Tribolium castaneum: one gene and its partner. The protein of the gene in region 2 interacts with the protein of the main gene of each other region in a pairwise test. Links are inferred from orthologs where the notes say so. Each region holds a gene or a part of one and is shown on either strand. Other genes may lie near its edges.

Region 1 (6,787 bases), on a different chromosome or scaffold from region 2:
TTAATGAAAAAGAAAAGAAACAACGTTTTAAAAATGTAACATCTTTATTTTTTCTATTTGTTAACCATGCCAGGAGTTATGAGAAATGATTGGATCCAAAGACACAGAGAAGCCATATAAAAAAACTTGTAGATTTAACTAAAATAAACAGTTTAGGTAAAAAAAAGACTAAAGTACATACTTTTGCCGGACGCTTTATATTGTACAGAGTTAATCTGTTAAAAGTAGGTATATTTTTATGATATCTCAAAAACAATAATTATACACAATTTTGTAAATAATTAACTAAGTAAAATTAAAACTTCAAATAAGTAGGTAGTAGGTAACAATTTTATTATAAATTTTTACTAAAAACATCATTAAACATCGTTGTTTTAAAATAGCACTTAAAATCATGAAATCGTTCATATTTTTTTTATTGTTAGATATTAGTATTTTTTATAAATTAATTTTAGTTATAACGAAAGGTAGAAACAAATTCAAATGCTGATTTCGGTTCGACTAGGTATAACAGTTTTCGCTAAAATACTTGAGAAAAAAAGACAAAAAAATAGAATTTTAATAACTAATGATAACACTTACAATCAATCAAGTCACATTTCAAATATTCCGCAGCAGAATAAAAGTTTTTGTAAGGTAAATAAAATAAAATAAAATGAACTCAACAATTTATATTCTTAAATCACAAAATTGTGGAAAAATCCTTGCAAATCTTAAATACCGTCTTCTACCGTCTGTTAAGTAATAAGTAAGTACGAGTATTAAAGACATAACTTCTAAAAGGAATGCAGTGGAAACTGACTTGCTTTCGCGAATTATTCGAAAACTTTAAATTCGAGTACTTTAAACACTAAAATAAAATTACAGCATATTTGCTCAAGATTTCAAGTTTTTTATTATTTTTACTTCAGAAATGTCAATTTATAAACAGGGGGAGTTTTATCATACAAAAATAATGGGAACAACATTTTTAACAAATTTGGTTATTCGCATTTTTTCGTTGTAACTCGCTGTAAATTTTTAGAATAGAATTAAAACATCAAACTGAAGCGCATTTGAATTTCGAGCACGTATATTATGTAAAGAGTTATTTTTACGTAAGTCGAAAAAATAATCGACTTTTACAACTTTTCAAATAATATCGAATTTAAAGAAAATACCAAAAAGAATTTTTCTATGTTTCAATGGATTTAAGACTATCAACAAAAAATTCTAGACGAAAAAGACACTGAAAAAGCTCTTAAATAAATTTTCTAAAGGATGATCATTGTTTTTTCTTAGTTTTTGTTTAATTTTGTTGTCAATTAGTATTCTTTGTTAAAAATTCTTAAACTGAAACCTTTTTAAATAAAACTGTAAAATAAAAAATCAAAAATCCCTACCTGACATGCAGCCCAGCTCCGTGGAATTGCTGTTGTGATTGTTGTTGCTCAAGCTGGTGTTGTTATTACTTTCGGTGGAGGGCAAATGTGGCGTTGTTGGTATGGACGTCTTCTCCATGTGGTCGTGGTCCTCCTTACAGTACAAATTTCCACCGTCTCTTAACGCGAACTCATCTCCAGGTACTAACGGTCGTGAACAAGCACAACACTTGAAGCACTTTATGTGATAAATCTTGCTTTTTGCCCGCATCACAAAATCATCTTTGCTAAACGACGACCCGCACCTGTCGCACTTCGCCCCAAACAACCTGGAAATGCGAGAAAAGAAAATTGACCCACTGTGTGTGGTTGGCAAGAACTCTGTCAGGACGTGTGTAATTTGAGATTCGGTTTGTTTAAGAGGGAAAAGTCACATATGGGCCACCGGAGTGCCAAAATCACCGCTGATTTGACTTTGATAAGCAGCAGCTGCGGTGGGTGGATAAACAACGACTTTGGAGGTCTTGTTGGTGGCAAAAAGGAAAGCAATGAAGGGAAAATTGTTGTGTTGTGTTTAGTTTAATTTTACAAACCTCACATAGTCTCGCTTGCAGTAGGTTTTACCATCTCGCACGAAGCATGTGCAGGATTCGTCAAGGAACTGTCGACACTCCTGGCATTTTAGACAAGCTGCGTGCCATTCCAGGTCAGGAGCTACCCGGAGGATGTATTGGTCGTGGATCTGGCCACCGCACCCCACGCAGTGGCTCAGCCGGCGGGGCTTTTCTGGAAATCAAATAAACTACTTAAAAAAATTTGCGAAAGCCTATTTTTAAAATCAAAAATCACTCACTGTTAACTACTTTAATAAAAAAGTATCCCCTCAAAAGTCCTTCAATATTTTGAAACCATTATTATCTTGTTTCAAAAAGGATATACAGCAACATCCTCCTCACAACGGACATTTCTGTAGAATCGTAACAAAAGCCTCGGAAAATAATGTAAAAAAATTCTCTCTACAACGGACAATTTAAGATTCCACACCGGTGTCCGTTGTTGAGAGGTTTTACTGTATTAATACTATATTAATAATTTTGATGATATTTTAATATAAACAACCAGTTATATTCATACAAATAAAAAATCAATGAGGACTATCATCATACATTTTAATAATGTACCTATCATTATTTATAATAATTTTATTAATACAGCACGTTCAAAAAGTCTTTGGATCAACCTTGCTGTGAAATTTTAGACGTATGTTGATTTCTTACGATTATTACATACGAAAATATTGGCGTTGGAGAAAATCGCAACAGAATAAAACGATAATCTGTCAAAGACAATAAAAATCTGTCAATCTAAATTCCACAGCAAGAGTTGATTTAACGACTTTTTGAACGCACGGTATTACAATTATTCAAATTTAAAAATGGAACAAATACATTGTTTTTGTTCTAAACGTCAAGATTTACTATATTTTTCGGATGTTTCCGAAATTGTCAAAAATGATTATAATTCGTAATTGTTGTGCGATGAAAAAGATGAAACTGGTTTTGGTTTGTAATTAATTTCCAATTTTGTCACAAAAAAAGTTTACGGTCAAAAAAAATTTGTTTGATAATGGGCAATTAATAAACTCAACTATTAAAGGCACTCACTCGCTATCGCTCGTTCGTGCTTTAAACAGTTTAGTTTATTGATCGCCTTCATTAATAAACTGGTTTATTAAATAACTGTTTCAAGTTGTATGGAAGGTGAATTATTGATATTAAAAAGCAGATTATCTACTATAGTTTTATTTTTTACCTAATACAGTTAACTTAAGAGTTTAAGTAACATTCAGAGCAAACCCCGTTTCGATTTATTACAACTAAGCAACAGATAATTTGCGGAAAACCTAGTGGAATAAAGAAGAAGAAGATGAAGAAGAATATAATATAATATAATATAATATAAGAATAAGAAGGCAAATTTTTAAAACAACTCACAAACGAATGGTGGATGTTTAAGTTTAATTAACGCTTTTCCTCTTTTGATAAATTCGAAAAAAACAGAGTATAACAACTGATGGCAAACATTTTTTACTCTTTCTAGAGGGTTCAAATAAAATTCTTATTGCTTCAGAGTAACTGATACCAAAAATTCCTCCAAATTTTGGTTTGAGGTGGCCTATACCAAAAATAAGCAAATGACTGTGCCAGAAGTAATAAATCGCCGGCAAAGCTTCGGCGCCAGTTTTATCAATCTGAATAATTTGGGGGAGGTTTGGTGGTATTAATTCGTGTGATCAGGGGTGGTAGAGCAGGTAAACAATGGAGCCCTATAAAGTGTCTGCAAACAGAGATGAGTGTAGCCGTTTGGGCGCTAATTGCCCAGGTAAAGTCAGTGGCGGTGTCAGAAAAGCTGGCATCCGGTAGCAAGTCGGCGAGACGGTGCCTATTAACACCCCAGTGCGAACTGCGGGGTGTCCAGACAGCCCCCTGACCACCGACGAGTTACAGGTGGGCTTGTGAAAAACACTTTTTTTTTTTCATTCGCAAACCTTGACCCATTCACGATCCCGTCGTTCGTCGAACTTTCAAGCCATCATCATCATCATCATCAGCAGGCGAAAGGCTCACCCCGAATAAATCAAATTCCCAAGTGCTGGCGTTAGTTTACGTATGATGGATGTGAGGCAGGCTAGCAGGAATTTCACATAGAGAGCAAGTTGCGTGTTTATGTGTTCATGTGATGCATTTAACGCGTTGACAGCAACACTAACAGAAATAAACATTCATACAAGCAGAGTTAATGCATCGTCGCTTTTCCACTCCGCCAGTAAATATTGATGGAAACACGTGTTGCCGCCACTAATATTTAGATGACTTCTGTTAACGCGGATCTTACATTAGGACCAACAGCGATTGATCTAGCGCGAAAATTTATTTAGGACCAAGGAATTTCTCAAAGCACAAAGCTAATGCCATTTCCGGTGGAACGGAAGCCAAGATTCAATAAATTGTGGACAGGACGTTTGCTGCTCATTTTGCCAAATCAGAGAAACACACAACTATTGCTGCAATTTTGCAATTTTCTGGATTTTTTATTTTTTTATCATTTGCTTCAATTGAGATTTTGTTACAAGTGTGGCTTTTAATTCACACAAGAAAAAATATAAAAAAATAACTGGGTAACTGGATTTTTATTTTAGTTTTATCATATTTTAAGTAAATCTAGAGATTACTTTGGAGGTATTATTATGTGTACATACCATAATGCTTAATTAATACGACTATTAAGCGCGCAATTACATTGCGAACACGCACTTCTTTCTATTAATAAAGATTTTAAGATCTATCTAATTATCATAAAAATCTTAGAAACGTGTTTGAAGGAATCTTCAAATACAGGGTGAACACAAAACACAAAAGACTGCATAATTTTCGAAATGCGCGCTTGATGCAGTAATTTGTCCGCCATACACTTCTTGATTACCTGGCACTAATTAAAACAATGCAGGAAGTTTTCTCGTAGCATTAGCCACAAATCGTTGAATTTAAATAGTAAAAAAGCCGCAAGTATGAGGGAAAAAGCAAAGTCATCCGCCACGCTAATAATACATAATAGAATAGATTCATTTACAAGAGTGAGTTTCGTAAGTCTCTTCTCCTTGAAGGAACGATATTTATAGTGAGTGGATGGTTTAATTACAGCTTACACCGGTTACGTTGCACATCTCCAACAAAAATAACTAATTAAATTGGCATATGAACAATTAACAGCGCCGCAATGTGTGCAAAATTAAAAAATCACATTCTGCTGATCACGTTCGAAAATGGGAAGGATTTAATTTGCAATTACTACCGCACAAAAACCGGTGCCGATTATGAATTTAACGGCTATTTCGCGAAAAACCAAAGGCAATTACACGCCATGAGTAAGCGCCACAAACTGAGAAATTTATATACAGGATGGACCAGCAAACAACACGTTTTTCAGTCAAAATGCACATTTTTGGCTTCAAGCAAGGAAATTAACATTTACTAACTTACTACAGCCTGTGTCTAAGCCAAATTTATTTGGAGAATAATGAATAAAATTAACGAAAAATAAGCAACCACTAATATGAATATAATTGTTGCATAAATTAAGATAAAGCTTAAATTGCTTCACTTAAGATGAACAATAAAGATGATCGTTAATTGTGAAACTGTTGTAGGTAAATAAATATTCTTTCCGAGTGCTTACCTCCATTCATAATTATAATTTTAATTGCTTTTGGTATGTGGCTATTAATAAAAATGACGTGTTTAATTCATTTACTTTTAGTCTAGGACTTCAGTTTTTGATATGAATTCAAAAACTTTATTTTTTCCAAGATTATGCAAAATAGCTAAGACCTAGGAGCCACCTAAATAAGAATTATAAGCATGAAATTTTACATAATAAAGCTCGTCTGAACTTTTGTATAATTTTATTAAAAGTTTTTTTTTTATTAATTTGTAACAAAAATATGATATTGTTTCAAAGCGGAATTGTAATTAATTACAAATAACCAATTTACAATTCGGTTGTGGTTACGTATTAAACTGGATTACCTTATTATTGTTTACACTTGACTTACAAAACTGGAACACTTGAATTATAATAATGTATTCCAAATGTAAATCGCTGCATTTTCATGCGAAAGCTCGGAGCTGTTTCCAGACGAAAAACCCTGTGAAAATGTCTATCTTAGACTAAATAATTACATAAAAATCGTTGTGGACCCGTTTGTTTTGTCAGTACTAAAACCCCCAATTTTGTGTTGGTCGGGTGTAGGTGAGGATTTACGGCAATCATTTGCAGGCATCGTAGGTGATGGGGTTATAAAGAAAAGAGTGCCGAACGGAGTGGAGTCGGCTCGTCGGGAATGTGGACAATTCGGAGATCATAAGTTAAGATAAAGTAAACAATTAGCGACATGTTGGAGTTTATTTATTCGAGCGCAGGTAGGAGACTATCATTTCAGGCCAACATGCAAATCAGAAAAGTCACTAATGAGCTGTTCGAGACTCCAAACGTCCAAAAGGAGAGCACAGGGATAATTAAATCCCGACTCGATTCTTTTCCACTTGTTACTCCTTCAAACCAGAAATCTGTTTAAACATTTGACACAATTTCTGTTTTTTCTAAATTCTTAAACTAACTCATGTTTAATTTATATTTTTTCATTTTTTTATTAGTATTAGTTTCAAAAAACACTAGATACATCGGATTTTTTTATTTACCGTCTATAAATGTTTCTACTTTTCAGTTGGAAAAAGTATCTCTCTAAGAATGTTTAAAAAATTACTTAGTGACAAATTAAGACAAACTGTACGAAAAAATCTGGACACCAAATTCTATACTGAGATGTTTCTATTTTCTACAGAAATATAGACAAACAAACTAATTTT
Region 2 (7,587 bases):
GAAGATGAAATTCTATGGCGAGATGTAAATCACCACCGGACAAAAACCATTGATTAATGGCTTAATTACTAGACGAAAATATTAAAATAGTTGGCGCAGTTGCCACTGTGAGCACTCTCAACTTGTTATTCATGACCGGAGAGCTAAGTTATGGCCAGATTTGTGTGTTTGCTGTGTAGATTTGATAATTGCAGTTCATGAGAGACCACCGTGACCTCAATGAGTACTATCTTCATTCAACTCTTCAGCATTATGCCATAAAGGCGGAGTAATAGCTTTGTTATGATACCTGCTCCATTACGGACAGTAATTTTATTATTCCACTTCGATTCGCAGCTTCTGGCTTTGTCGGAATTACACGGATACGGTATTTGACACGAGTTTAGATAAACTCGAGGGATTCACCCACGAAATTCCGGCCCACGCGCTTTCGTTAACATATTCGATGAGTTTTTATTACTTAATTTATTAACCCAGAGATCCATCGACAGATAAACGACCACGAATTAGCGAAACGAAACTCGAACTCACACAAAAAATTACAACAAACAACTAAACACTGCTAAACATATTTCGAAAGAAACCGGCGCTCCTTTATTATTTACGATGTTTCCACTTAAGTTCGTCAAAGAAAAATACATTCAACAAACACAACAAAAAATTAAGTTGATGTACAGTCACCCAAAATGAAAATGACGCGTCCAAAACGCGTAACCTATCATCCTTTGAAATGATTGAGGATTTTTTTGGAAATTGTTGGTTGGGACAAATGACAAATAAACCAATTATTTTAAAATTAGTAGCGACGTGTCAACACCCAAAAAATAATGTTGTTTGCAAATTCATTTGAAGATTAATTGAAGATTAATTAAAATCTTCCACAATTATTTTTATTCTTCACAATTCTTACGGAATAATGTTTTTGCATCAAAATGATAAATGAATTGAATTTCAGATTTTGTGTTTTATTGGCTCGGTTTATTTTGGAAGTACCTACCTAAATAAATAAAAAACCGTATTTAAAGGCTTTAAAAAAGTAAAAAATAACTCCTTTTGCGACCGAATTTTGTCATCTTTCAGTCTACTCTTGACGAAATCTTACCCAAAAACAAACAACTTGGAGAGAAAGTTTCAATTTATTTTTGTAATTTTTAAGCCCATTTTGTCAAAATGCCACCAATTTAGATTTATTTTCTGGATCTTAGCGTTTTTTGATCAAATCTGATTAAAAAATGTACGGTAGGCGTGTTTTTTATGGACGCGTCTTTTTCATTTCGGGTGACTGTACACTTTTATATCAACTACTGCCAGTTGTTTCTGGACTATAATTCCAGTAGTAGGTGTAAGCTTGGTTTAGTTAAAATAAAATTTACATTTTTTACACGATTTAATGAATTGTTTTAGAGTTTTCAAAGCAAAAATTGCCAGCTACCAACTTCTTCTACGTTTCTAATAATAATTAATGAGAAAAACAAATAAGCTGCGTCCATTAATTAAAAATGAATCACAATGTCTAAGAAGACATACTTTCAACTTGTCTCCTAAAGCGATATACAGTTTCGTATTAACATACGAAATTTATGTAGTAACCACACGCAATATGCAATTTTAGTTTCATTTTTGCTAAAAATGAATAACAACTTTCCATAAATCAGCGTTTATTTATATCAATATATATCCATATAAATATAATGATCAATAAACTAAAAATAGAGAAATGGCAACCATAAATACAAACACTTCATGCATAACAATCTAATTTTCCTCAAACACCCACTAAGACGACGCTTTAAAATTAGCCCTTTTTGACTGCCGTTTCCGGAAACGGCAAAAATCGATGCGGTTTCATGTGGAGGCAAGAAGGCGCGTTCGTCCGAAAGCAACCCCCGTCGGGTGCATTTTCGTCCACCTATGAATCATTCTCACTTGGCCGTTTATCAGTTTCAGATCGGTGCCGATTTCGTCACAGTCGAACGAGAAACAGTGAAACATCCCCGAATGAGACACCTGACCTACGCTAATACCTTGGTGGAAGAAACAAGCAAATGTTTTTGGTGCGGTCCGTAGCGAGCAAAATACAAAAGGGGGTGTAACTGACTGGGCCACGGTAATACGTCATCGCTCATCCGGACTGAGTCCGGCACAATTCGGGACAAGTCCGGGACTCCGGCGCGGTAGACGAAGGAATTATCATGTGAATGAGGAAATATACAGAGTGGAACGCTCTCAAAGTCTTATACGAAAAATAAGGAAGCGCTCATATTGAATGGCACTTTTTGAACAGGCGAGGGTCGGCCCCTTGTACCTGACGGACCCCTCTGGTTAAATTATGAAAGTGGATGAGGGCGCCATCTGAGTGACGTGCCCAACACTATGGGATCATGTTACAGTTGCCAATTTTTTTTAGTCAGGAAAAATTTGAAAAATTTTGGTACTTTTCCCATTTCCGTCCTGTTATGTTAATAAAATGAAATAAAATAAAAGAACGTTGTAGCTTTATGCAAATTTTGCGAATTTATGATGTTGTTATAGAAGATTGAACTTTGACATACGAGTTTCTCTAATAAATAAAATCCGTCGGAATCATCTCCGAACACGCTTTTAATCGTCCTCCCTGTATAGCGCGATAACATAAGTGTAGTAGATCGTGCGTTGGCGGCAATAGCGCTAATAAATCAAACTATAAATAAAAACAATTTAAGCAATCGGCGGCCCGTGAAAACCACAGCCGCTTCTTCAATCAATAATTCTTCAGCGACGTTGTAGTAATTTCGAAAAGATATACCTTTGAACATTAGAGTTCGCCATCAACTCATTACTCTCCAGCGTATGAATAGAGCGTCTCGCAATAACGACCGAACGAAATTTTTTGTCGGCTCGTTAGCGATGTCCTCCCGAAATATGAAACGACCTTAACCAAATTATATTCCATTGACCCAAGACTTGAGAATTACGAACGCCGAACTCAAAACACGGATTATTTTGGTCAAAGCGGACGATTTTTTTACGGGAATATAGGACGTGCTCATTTCAAAGGCGTCTAGACGGCCAAATAGGCGAACAGCTGATCGTCCCTCGTGCTCTGACAAGGACCCGATTTGTTCGACGAGGACGAGAACAGAGAAATTCGACTGAGGGACAGAGATGTGGCAATTCAACCCTGATTTTACACGCACTTGACTTCGCTGCAGGTTCAACATTTACATAACTTTGAGGTGCGGACATCGCGCGCACGGGCCAAAGGGCAACAATTAGCACAAAAAATTTTGTTTATTCAAATTTATTTTATTTTGCAATAGATAATTAAGTAGTTCCAGCGGCAATAAATAAGGCACAAATTATGAATGACAAATCATTGAAAAAATAAACAAAATTTATGGTGTTGTACGTCGGCAACTTTAACATTCCCAAATAAATTACTAATTTAACGTACTTTACTATCGACTGAAATTATATAAAATTTTAATTTTAGAAAATAGAGGAAGCAGACGACGAAGATGAATCACAAATAATAAAATAAAACGGTTCGTCATATTGTGCCAAGAAATTTATTTTTGAATCAAAGAATACCCACCAGAAATTTAGGAAAAATAGATACAGATAAATAATTTATTTAATCATTAATATAAATCATTTTCCGGACGACTAGAAAGATATTCAGTTAAAAAATCGTTTACAAACTTACTAAAAATCTGTTTTTCGGCAAAACTATTTAGAACATTTATTATGTAAAAAGTTCGTTTCTTAATTAATTATTATTAACTATTATTTTTTTAATGGAGATATAAATAAAAAAAGTCGTAACTAAACATACTGTCTTTAAATATAACTAGTTAATAAAATCGTAACTTGAACCGTGGTGGTCCAAAAAGTAGGTACAATAAAAACCCGGAAACAAACAGTTTGCTCGAAATTTTTAAAAAAATCTCCCGCCAAAAAAATTTATTCTTGACTTTTGATTCGCACTATGTGTTTAGAAACGACTATTATTTTCACGTTTGGTATTTTGAAATGACATTTTTTTAGTGTCACAGCAATGAATGAAACATTTTTGGTTTGTGCTTTTGAAATGTTACAGTGTGGTGCACGTTTGAACGGCGTGCGATTCGGCCGGAGTTAGCGCGTTTCCTGCAAATAGCGTCCGCAGCAGGAGTCCGTAGGCTTAGACCTATCACCAACCTGCAATGGCCATCCAGGGGTAAAACGTGTGGTTGGTCTGCTGGTGTATCTGCGTGCCAACGGGCTGCGAAGAGGTCGAGTTGATACTGCAGGGGTTATTCCACGAGAGCGAGTTGCCCGTCCGTCCTGCGGCCGCCCCCGGACTCGAGGCCGGATCTCCGCCGACGAGCCCGACCGACCCGTAGCCAACCCTGGAGTCCGGCGTGCATGCCGCCGGCCTGACCGGCCCCGTCAAACTGTTCGTGAGATTAGCGCCACCGCCAGAAGTCGCACTTTGCCAAACGTCCTTGACCGCGGCCGCCGCCACCACCGAGGCGTATCCGTTCTGGTCGGCGTTGCCTTTGGAGCAGTCCGGCTTCGAGTTGGAGGAGTAGTTGGAGTTCTGCTGGCCCTCGGAGGAGTAGAGCTTGCAGGCGGCCGCCACCGAGGCGTCGTACGGCGAGTCCTGCGGGGGCCGCGCCTGCAGGTGGTGGTGGTGGTGCTGGCTGGAGGCGTACGGGGACATGCCGAGCGACAGCGGGAAGGAGCGGTAGGCCGCCGCCGCCGCCGCCGACTGCTCGTGGTGGTGGCCCGCCACCGACCCGCTCTGGTGGTGGTGGCTGCCGTAGAAGCCGCTCTGCTCGAAGTAAGAGTTCATGCTGGGGGCGGCACAAGTCACTCGACACCGGAACCGGACATGACAGTCACACGATTATTATTATTGTTATTAGCGAGAGTGATAAGGTGATAAGAGCTCGCACGAGCACACCACACAGCAGCTCGCTCCGGAATGCACACGTTGGCTACTTTGCTCGCGGATGGGAACCCACTGGAGCTCCGGAGTCTGCTCCGGCCCACACATCCCGGCCCATCGCTCCCCTCTCCCCCCACTCCGGACGAGCACGCGGCTCATTATTGCAGCTACCTGTATTGTCGGCCGATCGGACACGGTCGCACCTAATTAGCGCCTGACCGGCTTCTCCAAAGGCTAGGTTTCCTCCAGAAGGGTCGCGAAGGCCGTAATAACCCCTAGAGCACGTGCTTCTACACGAAGACGCTCTAATGGAAGGGATCATACATGAACCAATAGCAATTGAATTCGTCACAGCCTTCAAGCATTGCGCAAGTGGCCCCCAACGAGACGAAGAGGGGAGGCGCGTGGCGCCAGCTCTCGGACAATTGCTCAACCTTTCAAAACGACACTCTTGCCGAAACGAGCAACATCAATTGCCAATAAAAGATAAAACGACCATCACACCACCAATATAAACAAAATCATCGAAAAGTAAACGCTACATTTAAAATACTCTGATTCCGCTGCCAAACCCTCAATATATTCACCGTTAAAGTACAAAAAGGAAAGCTTATTTTATTTATTATTTTTTTGCATTCTGCATCACAATTTTAATGTCTATTTGGTTTGTTAAAACAATTAAATTCACAATTTCTAAAAACAGTACGTAATTTTATATTAATATTCAACTAAAACAGTAAGATTTATTGACGACGGGTAGATAAGATCTTGTTCTGTAACTTTTCATCGCACTTGATTTTTTAGGCAACAAATCAGACTCCAACCGCTAAACAAGTTAAAATCAAAGAAACACTCCATTTTTTTAAATGTTTTTAGGCTGTATAAAGAGCGGTATGCATTCAGCCCTTTGTTACTGCTTCAGGTACCTATTAAAACATTCTCGCTTTTTTGACTTCATCTTACACTGTACCATGTCGGTATAAAAACCAAAGCTAAAGTTAATTGTTGCTCATTTTCGAGTAAGGGTTTTAATATACTACCTTAATGTACCTACTTTTCTGTGTTCCCAAAATACAATAAACTTAAATTGCATTTGAATGAATGTGCTTTTGTAAATTTTACTGCCCGAAAAACATTCAAACTAATAAAACTAAATTATTTTGGACCGTTTTTTCTTCGTGCACATACCTAATCCAAATCAAATCTCATCGAAAAATACTCGTACCCCATTCCAAACGGATTAATTAGTTCAAAAAAATTATAGAAGTGTCTCTACTGGAATTATTCTAACTACAAAAATCTCCCAACAATAGTAGATCTAGGATCTAGGTATGTATAAATATTTTCTTCAAACAAATAAAAACAAATAATAATGTAATAAATTTCTATTCAGTAAACAGTAAAATTATTAACAACCAATAATAATTTAATGTTATCCTGATAATAGGTAGTATATACTACAATGAGTCGTCAATAACAAAATAGGAAAAAGCCCGTCCGGGTGTTTAAATAAATCCCTTTTGCTCTTATCCTCTTGTCGTTACTGAATGGTTGAGGTTCCGAGGGCGGGGACGGAAAAAGGCCAGATTATTACAGTTTACACAAACCAGTAGTAAAAATTTTACGGCATTGGCACGCTCCTGGCACTTTATGGAGTGGCGGTGTCATAATTTTGCCATGGTCGTAGGTGACATTTACGATCACTCAAATCGTAATAAAATCAACTTTTATTGCTGTCTTACCTCCTTGCATATTGAAAGTGCCGAACTTGACACTTTCCAAACACTTCTCGACATAAGGATGAATTTGGCCGAACGAAAGTTTATTGTATTTTTACGAGCACATAATAGCTACTATAATAGCCGGTAGGTTTGTTCTACGTGTTTTATACCAAAGATAAGTCATTCCTGAGTGATAATTTTATAATTTGATACTTTTTCCTGCTTAAGTACTAATTTTATGTTGCAATAAAACCAATCTACATAACATTAGAACGCCATAAACAATTATAATTAATTTTATGTTTCGGCATGGTTCTCATTCCGAGATTTATTTATTTTTAAGTGACTATACAACACAGATTCTTCAAATAAACGATCAGCGGACGGCTTCCGGAATTATTACGATTATTCGCCAAGATATAGGTAAGGAGAAACATGTTTTGTTTACGCAAGTATACAGATAAAATAGATAAAATATTGATGTAAAACACGTCCCACAGAATTACATTGCTAACTTAATCAACTATAAACCTTGTGAATAATAATGGAGCCATTACATAAACAGTTATGTGGATGGTTTTCAAAAACGAAATTTATTTCAACGCACACGTGCCGCTGAAATATTTATTTCAAATGCCAAGACTTTTTAATAGAGAAAACGGAGCTTTCAAGCTTTGTCATTGTGTGCAAAATGGCGGCCACGACGTCTTTCACTGACAAAGTCTATTTACCTAGCGAAAAATTTATTACCACCGCAAATCGTTAAAGTCCTTAGACAGTTCACACTTCAGAATTGATGCGTTAGGTGAAAAATTTGAAAACCGATTAATTAATTAAATGACTAGTATTTTGATAAAACTTCGTTCGAGAAGCTGGACCCATAACTAACGTTCTTTCGGAGGCTTATCCTATGTTTGTTGTCCTTCCTTAACCAAGATAATGATGAGTTATTAC

The links.
Region 1: the proteins of Ubx (region 2) and tup interact in a protein complementation assay, tested with the Drosophila melanogaster proteins (2 studies listed by BioGRID). The link is inferred for Tribolium castaneum from reciprocal best matches to the Drosophila melanogaster genes Ubx and tup.

The regions. Positions count from the first base shown.
Region 1 is NC_087396.1:24,299,707-24,306,493, forward strand, and holds part of tup (tailup), read right to left. Parts: intron 2,148-6,787; coding exon 1,955-2,147; intron 1,691-1,954; coding exon 1,383-1,690; intron 1-1,382.
Region 2 is NC_087397.1:7,098,871-7,106,457, forward strand, and holds the start of Ubx (ultrabithorax), read right to left. Parts: upstream 4,817-7,587; coding exon 4,180-4,816; intron 1-4,179. UniProt on the Drosophila melanogaster protein: Sequence-specific transcription factor which is part of a developmental regulatory system that provides cells with specific positional identities on the anterior-posterior axis. Binds the consensus region 5'-TTAAT[GT][GA]-3'.